Linked DNA regions of Cricetulus griseus. The protein of the gene in region 3 purifies or fractionates together with the protein of the main gene of each other region. This does not show direct contact. Links are inferred from orthologs where the notes say so. Each region holds a gene or a part of one and is shown on either strand. Other genes may lie near its edges.

What was found.
Region 1: the proteins of Snrpa (region 3) and Srpk2 purify together in Homo sapiens (affinity purification with mass spectrometry; 4 studies listed by BioGRID and IntAct, with this or other methods). This does not show direct contact. The link is inferred for Cricetulus griseus from reciprocal best matches to the Homo sapiens genes SNRPA and SRPK2.
Region 2: the proteins of Snrpa (region 3) and Prpf19 fractionate together in Homo sapiens (co-fractionation; 3 studies listed by BioGRID and IntAct, with this or other methods). This does not show direct contact. The link is inferred for Cricetulus griseus from reciprocal best matches to the Homo sapiens genes SNRPA and PRPF19.

What each region holds. Positions count from the first base shown.
Region 1 is NW_023276806.1:171,083,255-171,086,900, reverse strand, and holds part of Srpk2 (SRSF protein kinase 2), read right to left. Parts: intron 3,123-3,646; coding exon 3,097-3,122; intron 1,949-3,096; coding exon 1,702-1,948; intron 696-1,701; coding exon 228-695; intron 1-227. UniProt on the Homo sapiens protein: Serine/arginine-rich protein-specific kinase which specifically phosphorylates its substrates at serine residues located in regions rich in arginine/serine dipeptides, known as RS domains and is involved in the phosphorylation of SR splicing factors and the regulation of splicing.
Region 2 is NC_048596.1:49,556,686-49,561,096, reverse strand, and holds the start of Prpf19 (pre-mRNA-processing factor 19), read left to right. Parts: upstream 1-1,583; 5' UTR 1,584-1,787; coding exon 1,788-1,806; intron 1,807-3,797; coding exon 3,798-3,947; intron 3,948-4,129; coding exon 4,130-4,206; intron 4,207-4,411. UniProt on the Homo sapiens protein: Ubiquitin-protein ligase which is a core component of several complexes mainly involved pre-mRNA splicing and DNA repair. Required for pre-mRNA splicing as component of the spliceosome.
Region 3 is NC_048602.1:8,728,945-8,732,590, reverse strand, and holds part of Snrpa (U1 small nuclear ribonucleoprotein A), read right to left. Parts: intron 2,263-3,646; coding exon 2,086-2,262; intron 1-2,085. UniProt on the Homo sapiens protein: Component of the spliceosomal U1 snRNP, which is essential for recognition of the pre-mRNA 5' splice-site and the subsequent assembly of the spliceosome. U1 snRNP is the first snRNP to interact with pre-mRNA.

The DNA.
Region 1 (3,646 bases), on a different chromosome or scaffold from region 3:
ACTGAATATATAATAAATGAAAAATGTCCAGGGATAGGACTTCAGAGAGTAAGGGAAACCCTGGCAGCTAAAGCATTCCATTTGTTCTTGAATACAAAAGCACTGAAATTAAAGGATTAGTGCATATTTAAAGTGTCTCTTCCCCTTTAGCCAACTCTTTTCACAGTGTTTATCAAAGGTATGACCCTGCTCAGTGAAAACAGAGAGAGAGATACAAGGACACTTACTTTTTGGCAAATCTCCAGTACTAGAGGCTGAAACTGTCCTGCTTCTGTCATGGGATGGGCTACTTTCCTCTTGCTCAGTAAGTGGTGATCCCTCTGAAAGCACAGAACCACAGGCCACAGGTTCTAAGGGCCCAGAAAACAATGATGTGGAAAACTCTGGACTCTTGTGTTGTCCATTTGGCAATTCACCATTGAACTGTTCATAGGAGCTGCCATACGTATAATCACTCTCTGTATTTGGCTCATCTAGGTTATATTCCTCAGGATTTGCACAGTCATCTTCATCATCATCTTCATCCTCCAGCTGCTGTTCCAATAAAAATGGACCATTTTCAATATGGCCATTGGCTTTAGGGGACTCCATCCATGTAGGGTCTAGGTTTTCAAGTTCCTGTTCAACATCATCTTCATCCTTCTCAGCATTTTCCTTCTCTGCATCTTCTTTTTCTTCCTGGTCTTCAGCTTCACCTTAACAAACATAGGGTTAAAATTAGGAGTCATGACTCTCCTTGCAAAGCAGTACTAGTTAGCTTCTTCAACAAGACATACTTTGCTTTGTATTTTTCTGGTTTTAGTTTTTCCAGACAGGTTTCTCTCTGTAGCTCTGGCTGATCTGGAATTCTCTTTGTAGACCAGGCTTAAGAGATCCACCTGCCTCTGCCTTCTAAGTGCTGGGATTAAAGGCATCTGCTATCATACCCAACTAAGAGATGCTTCTAATATACCACAGAACATGTCTATTGGTTTAAAAGGCAAAAATGGCTTTCTAAACCCTATTTTTTGCTTATTTAATAATTAGCCTTATATTTTCAGGAACAAGTTGGTTTGGGGGGTAAAATGCTAAGCAAAACTGGATTTTCATTTCAAACCCTCCCCACTGCTTTCCTCAGATGGTTATTGTACTTGATCTTTAAGATTTTCACTGTAAATTGTGTGTGTGTGTGTGTGTGTGTGTGTGTGTGTGTGTGTGTGTGTGTGTGTGTGCTCGCGCGCGCGCGCGCGCGCGCATGCCTATGGCCTTAGAGCTGGAGTCACAGGGAGTTGTGAGCAACAGGACACAAGTGCTGCGGGAACCGGACTTGGTTCCTCTGCAGGAACACTGATCCATTTTTTTGAGTCACTAACCCTTTCCTCTACAGCTTTAGAATAAGGTTTGTGGTGTATTAAAGCTAGGCAAAAGGTCAGTCACAAAATAAAATAAGGGGCATCATTAACAGGAAAAAAACATGTTTCTTGGACTTTCTTCTTCCCTTTTTGAAAACCTACTTTGAAATGTCAACATAATGCCTAGCATACATTTTACCGATGGCGTATAGGCTGCTTCCCATAATCTCCAACAAGAGTTAGAGAAAGTTGTCCTTAACATCTGAGGCAGCAGCATGAAGCCAACCTGTGTGGCACACTGGCTGGGCCTTTCGTGCAGTTCCATGACACCCACCCATTAGCCCTCCCCCCTGCTCCCAGTTGTACTAACCATTATCCTTTGCTATCTCTCCTTCAGCTGCCTCCTCGAATTCTGCTTCCTTTAGTTTCCCCTCCAGGTGACACCCATCATCTTGCTCATTGGATGGCTCGGCAGTGGTAACACTTTCCTCTATGGTTTTCCTTTCAGCTTCTCGCTCCAATTCCTCGATCTCCTGCAGGCGTTTCTCCAGCAACTCAGCCTGCCTCTTCTGTTTCTTTTTCAGCTTTTTCTTTTTGTTTTTAGATATTTTTCCTATCTACAACATGGTAAAGAAAGTACCATAGGTTAGGTGCTGCTTCTTAAAACATTGTTTAGGAGTGTAAGTGCTGGCAACACGGCAAATTCCAACTCTGCTTTTTCATATCATACTCAGTTATGATCACAAACTCTACCTTAGGATAGGATTGTGCTCATGTTGTTGGTCTTGCCATTAAGGGGGCATAACTTCCATTAGAAAGTCTAGAACCGAGCACCTTGAACAAGAATCTCTTGCAACCTTTCTTTGCTGCTGCCTATATCCAGAATGACTCTCACTCTTAACAACAAAAACAAACACCTACCAAGACAGGTGGCAAACAGCACTGTCTGCATTTGGCTCTTAATACCAAGCTGTGACTGATAGGCAATATAACATGAACTTTCAGGAATAAACATATAATATAAAAGGACAAAAAAAGAAAAGCCACAGTTTTGCCTACCTTCAGCTACAGCCATATGTCTTAGAAAATACTGGCAATGAATACCTTTAAAGTTTCAAAGACCCATAAGCCCAAATCCTTAGATCAGGGTAAAACTATGAAAGTGATTTGCGACGGGCAGTAGTGACACATGCCTTTAGTCCCAGCACTTAGTAGGCAGAGGCAGGCGGATCTCTGTGGGTTCCAGACCAGCCTGGTCTACAAGAGCGAGTTCCAGGACAGCCTCCAAAGCCATAGAGAAACCCTGTCTCAAAAAACCAAAAAAAGAAAAAGAAAAAGAAAAGTGATTTGGATTTTCTGGCAACAATTCACCAGACTTGACTTCTCTTTTAAGACAGCACATCCACAGAATATATAATGCTCACTTACACAGCTAACTATAAAAAAATTAAAAGGGTTTTGTCAAAGAAGATACTTGGAGGCCAAGCAGAAGTAATTTTAAAACGGTTCTTTTAAACTTAATCTAAAACCTTGCAATTCACTGAACTTGGCCAAATGCAGCCCAGGGAGCACAGGAAGAGACTGGTCTTATAATAGCTTTGACTAGTCCCACACAAAAAGTCAAGCTTTTTTGGGGAGAGGGAGAACAGAGCATTTATAAACATGCCAACTTTTAAATTAATAAAGATTAGAACATTTGCTACATAGTTTGTGAAGCTCAACACTGAATAGTCTCTTTTGCTGAATATACATGTAAAATACTTACAGGTTTTTGCTGTGGAGCTGTACTCACTAAAACAAAACAAAACAAAATTGATATTCAGAGGAAAACAGGTACCTTTGGACAATCTCATTTGCAAAATGAAATAATACTGTCTTTTAATAATTACCCAACTTCAAAAAACTAAACCTCTGACGTTTCTAAAAAGTTTCTGCAATGCAAACACACAACTGACTCTTACAGGGCATAGGATAAGCTGTTCATATATAAGACACTTGTCCTGAAAACAGCCTCTCTCAAAGCACTGACTAAAAAATTAAGAAAATGGAGGAAAGAAGAAAGAGAAATGGAGGAATAGTTTGTAAGTCTGTCATAGAACCACATGTGCTTCACAAATGAGGCGATGAACATTTCAGATGAGAAGATACACAGCTATGTTTGAAAACCACTTAGAAACATCACACAACTAAACTAAACTAAGTCACACAGTGCAGCATATTGCAGCAATCACTCTGGAAGTCAGCCTTATAAGCGTCAAAACCTTTGTAAATTGGTTGCATGCGCTAATAACATCATGATGGCATATGAGATGAGG
Region 2 (4,411 bases), on a different chromosome or scaffold from region 3:
CTTAGACTGATTTATTTCCTCTCTATATCTAAATACTTGAGATGCCTGGCCTGTCAGGCAGCCTGCCATTCAGTAAACAATACTGGCAATGTCTCTGCTAAGTGTCAGGCACTGAGCGACACTCTTAGACTCTTGAGAACTAGTAGAGAGAGTAGTACAATCTAGTAGAGGACCCAGGTGCTAAAAGGACTTTCTAAATAAATAATTAAAACAATAGTTACTAAAAGTGTTTTGGAGAATTCCAAAAACCAGTGAGAGGTCAAGAAAGGGGCTGCAGAAGAGGCTATACTTAAGATGAGGCTGAGGTTTGCACTGGAGGGTTTGGCCAGGGAGGCGAAAGGAATTGATGAAAGCTGTCCACATAAACATTTTGAGCCTCCACATGCCAGTATTCTGGGGGCATTGAAGGGCGAATATGGCTGAGAAGATGAGGTAAGGCTGTAGAAGAGGTTGGCTCATTAGAAACCTGTGGTCTCAGGACTGACACCTGTCCTTCATTTAGGTCTCATCAAAAATGTCACCACCCTTTGGGCTGGTGAGATAGCTCACTGGGGAGAGGAACTTATTGCCAAGTCTGACAACCTGACTTCAATCCCAGGATCAACATGATAGAAGGAGTAAACCATTTCTCCTTTGATCTCCACACATGTGCTGTGACACACACACACACACACACACACACACACACACACACACACACACACAAACAATTTTTTTTTCTTTTTCGAGACAGGGTTTCTCCGTGTAGCTTTGGAGCCTATCCTGGCACTCGCTCTGGAGACCAGGCTGGCCTCGAACTCACAGAGATCCTCCTGCCTCTGCTTCCCGAGTGCTGGGATTAAAGGTGTACACCACCAATGACCAGCTCTAACTTTCCATTCTTATTACTTATTTAGAGACATGTTTCTATGTCTTTCTACATAGCCCAGACTGTCCTGGAACTTACTATGTAGACCAGGCTGGCCTTGAACTCACAGAGATCCACTTACCTCTGCAGCTGAGTGCTGTGATAAAAGGCATACATGAGCATGCCCAGAAAATTTCCATTCTTTTAATATCTACACAAGACGTTGGGAATTAAATTCCTTCCAGTCTAGAAAAGAGACTGTGTTTAAGACGTGGTAGACGACGAAGCCAGTGACTTGTCTAAATTCACAGAATAAGAGTAGAGACAGAACCTGGGCAGCGTTAATTTCTTTACTCATTTGTGCTTTATTCACAGGGTCACCTGGCATTGTTTCTCAAAAAGAGGCCAAGGAACACAGGCTTCAGAATCACGCCCACAGATTCTCTAAGGCAGACCCTAGAAATATGTATTTTTATAAGCTCCTGAGGTAATTGTCCTGCACACGACCGTCTCATATACTGCTGTGCCCTGGGTGACAGCAGCACCACGTCAAAAGCAGCCTTGGCCAAATTCCTGGGTTTATGGTTCCCACAGCCTCATGGGAAATGTAGTTTCGACTGACCTTCCCGCCTCCGGCCTCTGGGTGAGCTCGCCGGAAGGAGCCGAGCCAATGCGGAAACAGCCGAGTGTTCCGAGGCGGGCCTTTTCCTGCTCGATTGCATGCTGGGAAAGGGCAGTTTCCGTTAGCTGCTGAAGGCTGAGGCGCGCCACCGGCCACCTCCCCACGTGAAGCAGTTGTCCGAGCATCGCCAAGCCGGGCAGCTGTCTAACCCGCGTCCGAGCGCCCCGGAAGCGGCGGGGGACCGGAAGTGGCCCGCGGAGGCTGCAGAGCTAGTCCGGGAGCCCGCTGTGAGGCGACTGGCAGCGCTGCGACGGCGCCATGTCCCTGATCTGCTCGAGTGAGTGCTGGCTGCGGCGGGAGGCGGGAGCGTGGCTGCGGCCGGGGCCCCGGAGCCCGCGGCCCTGCGTGCGGGGTGCATTTGCGCAGTGCCGCGCAATTCACGTAGCTGGGAAGAATGACTGTGGTTGTTACACTGAGCGGAGACGGGCCTGAACGGGGTGGGGGGGTGGGAAGGGGGAGTTGGTGCAGGGAAAAACAGCTCCTGGTGTGGGAAAACCGAGGACGTGTCCAGCATCCGCCTCCGATTGTGACCTGGTCAGCAGCGGTCCAGGGCCTCAGTTTCCCCATCTGCAGCAGCATCCATTGAAAGCGTTGCAGTGGGTATTGCTCGGGAACGTCGCTTAGGCATCGATGTGTCTGCGATTTGCAGGGATCACGCAGTGACTTGGAGGCAAGGCTGGAAGCCAGGTGTCTGGCTTCTAGCCTCGCGCAGTATGACTAATGAAAACAGCGACCATTTAGGAGACCTGTATTGATGTACGACGCACTTCCAAACGATGATCCCATTTTATGCTTACAAAAAAAAATTGTCTGAATGGAAATAAAGATCCGTGATTTAGAGAGGGCGTCAGAAATCTTAGGAAGCATGAGGTTTATCCAGGGGTGTGCGGCACAGCTGGGCGGTGGAGCTCGGTTCTTTGAGCCCGGATCCATGCTTTTTCCATACTGTATGCTGTCTTGTCATTGGGTGTTTTGTTAACGGCATTGCGGGTGTTTACCTTCTTGTTTACCACATCACTAGCTTCCCCTCCCTCTCCATTCTCTTCTCAGAACGTTGCCATTAATTCAAAGAGGGAAAGGAAGGAGGGAAATGACAAACAGAAAAGGGAATTCACATCACACATAAGAAATTTCAGTTTGCAAAGTATTTTCGAACGATTTGTTTCCTTTTAATCTTGAGAGAGCACGCTTACATGCCCTGGGCCATCCTTCCTTTTTGTAGGGGAGGGAAAGCTCACTCAAGTGTTCAGTGGTTGAGTATGTGAGTGAGATAAGCCAACAGAATAGCACAGGAAAGCCATGTTTCCTCCCATACTTCATTACTTATGCATGGGAATCCTGCAAAAATAGGTGATTCTAAGGGAAGCTTGTACAGACCCATGTGCCACAGAAGAGAATAGGAGCTTGAGGCCTCAGGTGGGAAGGCAAACAGAATTATGTGGTGAATAAGAGCTGTTCTGTTACGTGATAAGTCTCTCGGGCAATAAATAATCTCTCTCAGAAGAGTCTTGAGTGTGGAGGTTGCTTTCACTCGTCTGCTGAGGTGAACCAATTGTCCCTGTTTAGGGGACGTTAGAGAAACAAGAGGGCCTGAGAAGGTCAGAGAGACCTTGATTCTGAGCTTGCTTTTGAGTTCTTCCTTTTTGGTAGTTCAGCATTACCAGGCTCCATACTTTGGGATATTTTTTATTGAGCCCCAGGATGTACCATGTTCTGATGTTTATCAAGTGTCTGCTTAGTATCTGCATTGTCCTGGAGGTCAGTGACAGCTGTGGTGCCCATCTTCAAGGGTACACAGACTATTCTGTCAAGTGCCTAGAATAGAATCTTGCTTGGCACACAGTAGCAGACACTATAGAAAGGTTTTTTATTTATTTATTTTTTAATTTATCAGTGCTTGTCACATTGCTTAGAAATTTTTCTGCCTGTTCCATCTAGGGCTCCAGACGAATGGCAGGGGTTTGAGTTGTGTGTACTTATTTGTCATATGCCTAGTCAGTCATATTTGTTCAAAAATGAGATGGCAGGGCATACTGACCACTCTTTATGGGACTGACATATAGTTATTATTTACTGGCTTTTATTATCAGCAGACTAGAGAACCTAGTTAAGTAGTTGGCAAGTATTCTAGGGCCAAGTACCAGCTGGCTTGCTGTCACAGACCTTGCTTTCTGATAGCTGAGTATGAGGACAGGGTCTTGTGGGGGCCGATACAATCTAGCCCAGGCCTCCTTTTACCCTGTGTTCACTACCTGCCTTTCTCTATAGTCTCCAACGAAGTGCCAGAGCACCCATGTGTGTCCCCTGTCTCTAATCATGTGTACGAGCGGCGGCTCATTGAGAAGTACATTGCAGAGAATGGCACAGATCCTATCAACAACCAGCCTCTCTCAGAGGAGCAGCTCATCGACATCAAAGGTGCCCGCCCGACCGATAGCCTAAGTCCAGGGCCAGCTCAACTCAGCCTTCAAGAGTGGGAGGAGGAGCCAGTCTGGTGGAGAAGATGGTGGCTGTGAATGAATAAAGAAAGGAGGGGTGGGGGAGGGGTGAGCCCCCGGGGTTCTGGTTCTTCATACCTGCTTTGCTGCCTCTCTTGGCAGTTGCTCACCCAATTCGGCCCAAGCCTCCCTCTGCCACCAGCATCCCAGCCATTCTGAAAGCCTTGCAGGATGAGTGGGTGAGTTCTTTGAAGAGTATGCACCTCTGGGCCTGGGGATTAAAAAGGTGGGACTGCCCTCCTTTTCTTTTTAATTTTTTATTTTATGTGTATGGGTCTTTTGCTTACATGTATGTCTGTGTGTCACTTATGTGCCTGGTGCTTGGGAGGCAGGGGGAGGGTGTGTGATCCCTTGGAATTGTGGTTACAGACCGTTGTGAGCCCC
Region 3 (3,646 bases):
CATGGTCTAACTCTGTTCAAATGCATAAAAAGAAACTAGAGAGAGGCTGGAGAGATGGCTCAGTGGTTAAGAGGGGTTCCACAACAGTTTGGTTCCTAGCACCCAGTCAGGCAGCTCACAACTTCTGTAATTCTAGCTCTAGAGGACCCAATGCCCTCTTGTGGCCTCCACAGGCACTACACTCATGTGTACACATATCCACACAGTCACAAATAAAAAGCAACCCCCTGCCTTTGAGACATGTCTCACCATGCAGCATGGCTGGCAGGGAACACACAAGGACCTGCCTACCTTGTGCTGGGATTAAAGTTATGTACCACTACACTTGGCCCAAAAATTAGATCTTCAAAGGAAAGAGGTTAAGAGCACTGCCTGTTCTTCTACAGGACTAGGGTTCAATTCCCAACATATACAGAGCAAACCACAAAAACAAACATAAAAAACATCAAATTTATTAAAGGAAAGAAATGGGAGCTAGCAACCTGGCTCAGCAGGCAAAGGCACCTGCCTCCAAGCCTGACAACCTGAGTTCAACCTCCAGTGTCTAGCTGGTAGAAGAGAATTAACCTCCATGGCATGCCCCATGGCATGAACACTCATAAAACATAGTCAACAAAGATGTCATCTAAAAATAAAAACAAATTAAAGGGGCTGGAGAGATGGCTCAGAGGTTAAGAGCACCGGTTGTTCTTCCAGAGGTTCTGAGTTCAATACCCAGCAACCACATGGTGGCTCACAACCATCCGTAATGAGATCTGGTGCCCTCTTTGGGTGTGCAGATAGACATGGAAGCAGAATAATGTTGTATACATAATAAATAAAATCTTAAAAAAAAAATAAAATAAAAAAACAAATCAAAGGTGGGAAGGGTGAGAACAGAAGGATGAGCAGCTGGACACAGACACCACCACCAGCTGCAAGTGTGACCCAGCCTGACAGCCATGAGACAAAACTCACGAGGGACAGAGACTGGAGGAGGGGGCAAAATTCAGCCATCTTGTGTACTCACCAAGATCACAAAGTCACTTTGAAGGTTCCCTTGGAGCCTCTATTGGATCTGCTGTCACATTCAGGCCCATGATGACCTCAAACTCCCAATCCCTGCCTCAACCTCTAGAATTGCAGGCCACCACCCCTGGCATGAGTTAACGCTGTACATAATACATAGTACAAGGGGTCGTCCTTCTTTCCGTTTCTGGTGCCGGGGATTGAACTCAGGACCTTGAGAGAGTTAGCTAGGTGAGCAGGCTACCACTGAGCCATACCCTCAGCCCTAGACAGGGCTACACTTTTCTCTTGCAGATCCAATTGCGCTGGGATTCCTTAGGGCGTGTTTCCCGACTCTGTTCTGCCCTGTTAGCCCTCTCTATCCATAGGCCAATGACCGTCACCTTGAAGGCTGGAACTCTAGATCCCTCTTCAGTCCTGGAGAACGCTCCAGAATTGTTTCCCTTCTCCTACCATGGGACCCAAGGACGAACTCAAGTTGCTAGGCAAACACTTTTATGATAAAAGCAGAGCTACCACGGTCATGTTGGTTTGCCCTAGATCACTGCTCAGACCCTCAACCTCCTACCCAGCTATGGTGTTTCACCATTGGATTTTCCTCTATGTGGGACATCTTTGCTTATTAACACCGAAAACAACTACTTGTTCTTCATCCTTCCTCCTGCTTGTAGTACTAGGGATTGAATGTAGTGCCTCCTACAGGCTAAATTGTTTTACTTTGTAATCCACTAGTGTCTCTAAATTAGATTTGCCTATTGTTTCTAACAGGAGGGTGACAACTTTTGACTTTCTGTAAAGTCATGGGCGTAGTGCATGTGCATTCTGCCCCCTCCCTTCTCTCTCAAGTAAAGACACACAGAACAAAACCAAAATCAAGGAAAGGGACCCAGGAGACAGGTGTGCAAAAGGACAGACCTTCAAAAGCAACCAAGTGTATGGTGGGGAACAGGCACTCAAAAGAGAACCCCCCATCCACACAGCTCACCGACCCAACAGGACAAGTCCCCTCAGTCTACATCAGGCCACATGGCTGAAGGCCTGACAGTGAAGGACACATTCCTGTGCCCCGGGGCTTACCGGTACAGGCTGGACAGCGCCCACCACGGGGGCAGCTGCCCCACCCTGAACAGCCTTTTTAGCAGCTGGTGTCTCCTGACTCTTGGGCTTCCTCTTCTCTCGTTTGCGGTCCCTCTCCACAAAGGTGCCCTTCATCTTGGCAATGATGTCCGAGTCCGTCTTGGCGTACTGGATGCGCTACCAATCAGAGCAGAAAGGTCAAGGCCAAGGAAATCAGAAGGAACTTCAAGAGTTCAAAATGAGACCTCACGAGGAGCTTGCTAAGAAAAACTAAACTGCTTGGCCACAGGTTCCTCATCTGTAAAATGGGCGTATTTTCCACTTGGCAGGACTGTGGTAGCAACTTAGCAGGTCTAAGTGCCTAGAAGCAGCAGTCCCCTGAATACAGTGAGCAGCTGTTGACTGTAAGCTAGACTAGGTGCTTACAATTCTGCTATGAAGAAGTCAGACATATGCTGGGACACATAAAAATAAAATACTTAATTAAAAAGAAAGAAGTTTTAAAAATATTTGAGACAGGATCTCACTATGTAGCTGGCTGGTCTGGAATTCCCTGTGTAGAACAGGCTGTCCTGGAGGCCCATCTGCCTCTGTCTCCCTAAAATTAAAAGCATGCACTACCATGCCCAGCAACAAATGATTTTATTTTTAAAGTCCCATGCTCAGAAGGGGACCTGGTGCATTGCAAAGTGAACTTTTCAGATCTAACACTTAGGAAAGGGATGGGAAGCAAGCACCACGAGCACATGGAGTGTGCAGCAAGAGAACAGCCAGGAAGCTAAGAGATGAGAAAAGCTGGGCCTGGGACTCCAGCTGCTGGAGACTGAGGCAGAGGGACAGAGAGGGAGAAGACAGGTCACAAGGGCAAAGGGGGACCCTTTGTGCTTTTCTAAGAAGCTGAGGCAGTGCTGTGATGACTGATGGGAGCTCTCAAAAGGCCCCGTGGTTTGCAGATAGGCCCGGGTGGGAGGAGGAGGAGCACGTGGGGAGCCAGGTAACAAAGACAACGTGAGAAGACACTCTGGAGGCATGGAGGAAGAACAGGGCTCAGGGAACCCTCTGCTCACTCTAGTTTGGGCCTGTTTTTGGATGAGTTTTAGACATGCTTGTAAGGATTCGGGCATTATGCTGGCTGCCCCTGTCCCTGCCAGAATTCACTCAGGCAGTACACTGGTCAGCCCAGTTCCATGATTGTTTAGTCAGCGAAGGACCCCTTTAAAAGAAAGACCCCCAGTCCATTTATGCTGTCTTTTCCAGCTCTCTTTGCCCACTCCTCTCTTTCTAGCTGTTCTGCTGGGACAGACAGGACTTTTCCTGTCTCCCTCTTCTCTTCTGACCTCTCTCTGTCTCTTTACCCAAGCCTGTCAGGGCGTGGTCAAGGTGGAGACAGGATGATGTGTTTTTAAGGGGCTGCAAGGCACATGGGGGCCCCTTTTCTGGCCTGCCTGTCTTGCTGCCCCTGGCACGCTCTGGCTTGCATTTGGCTGGTGTTTATCTGAATAAAGATATCTTAACCTTACAGACTACAGGTCATCTCGATATATTAGGCTCTGCCGGGCAT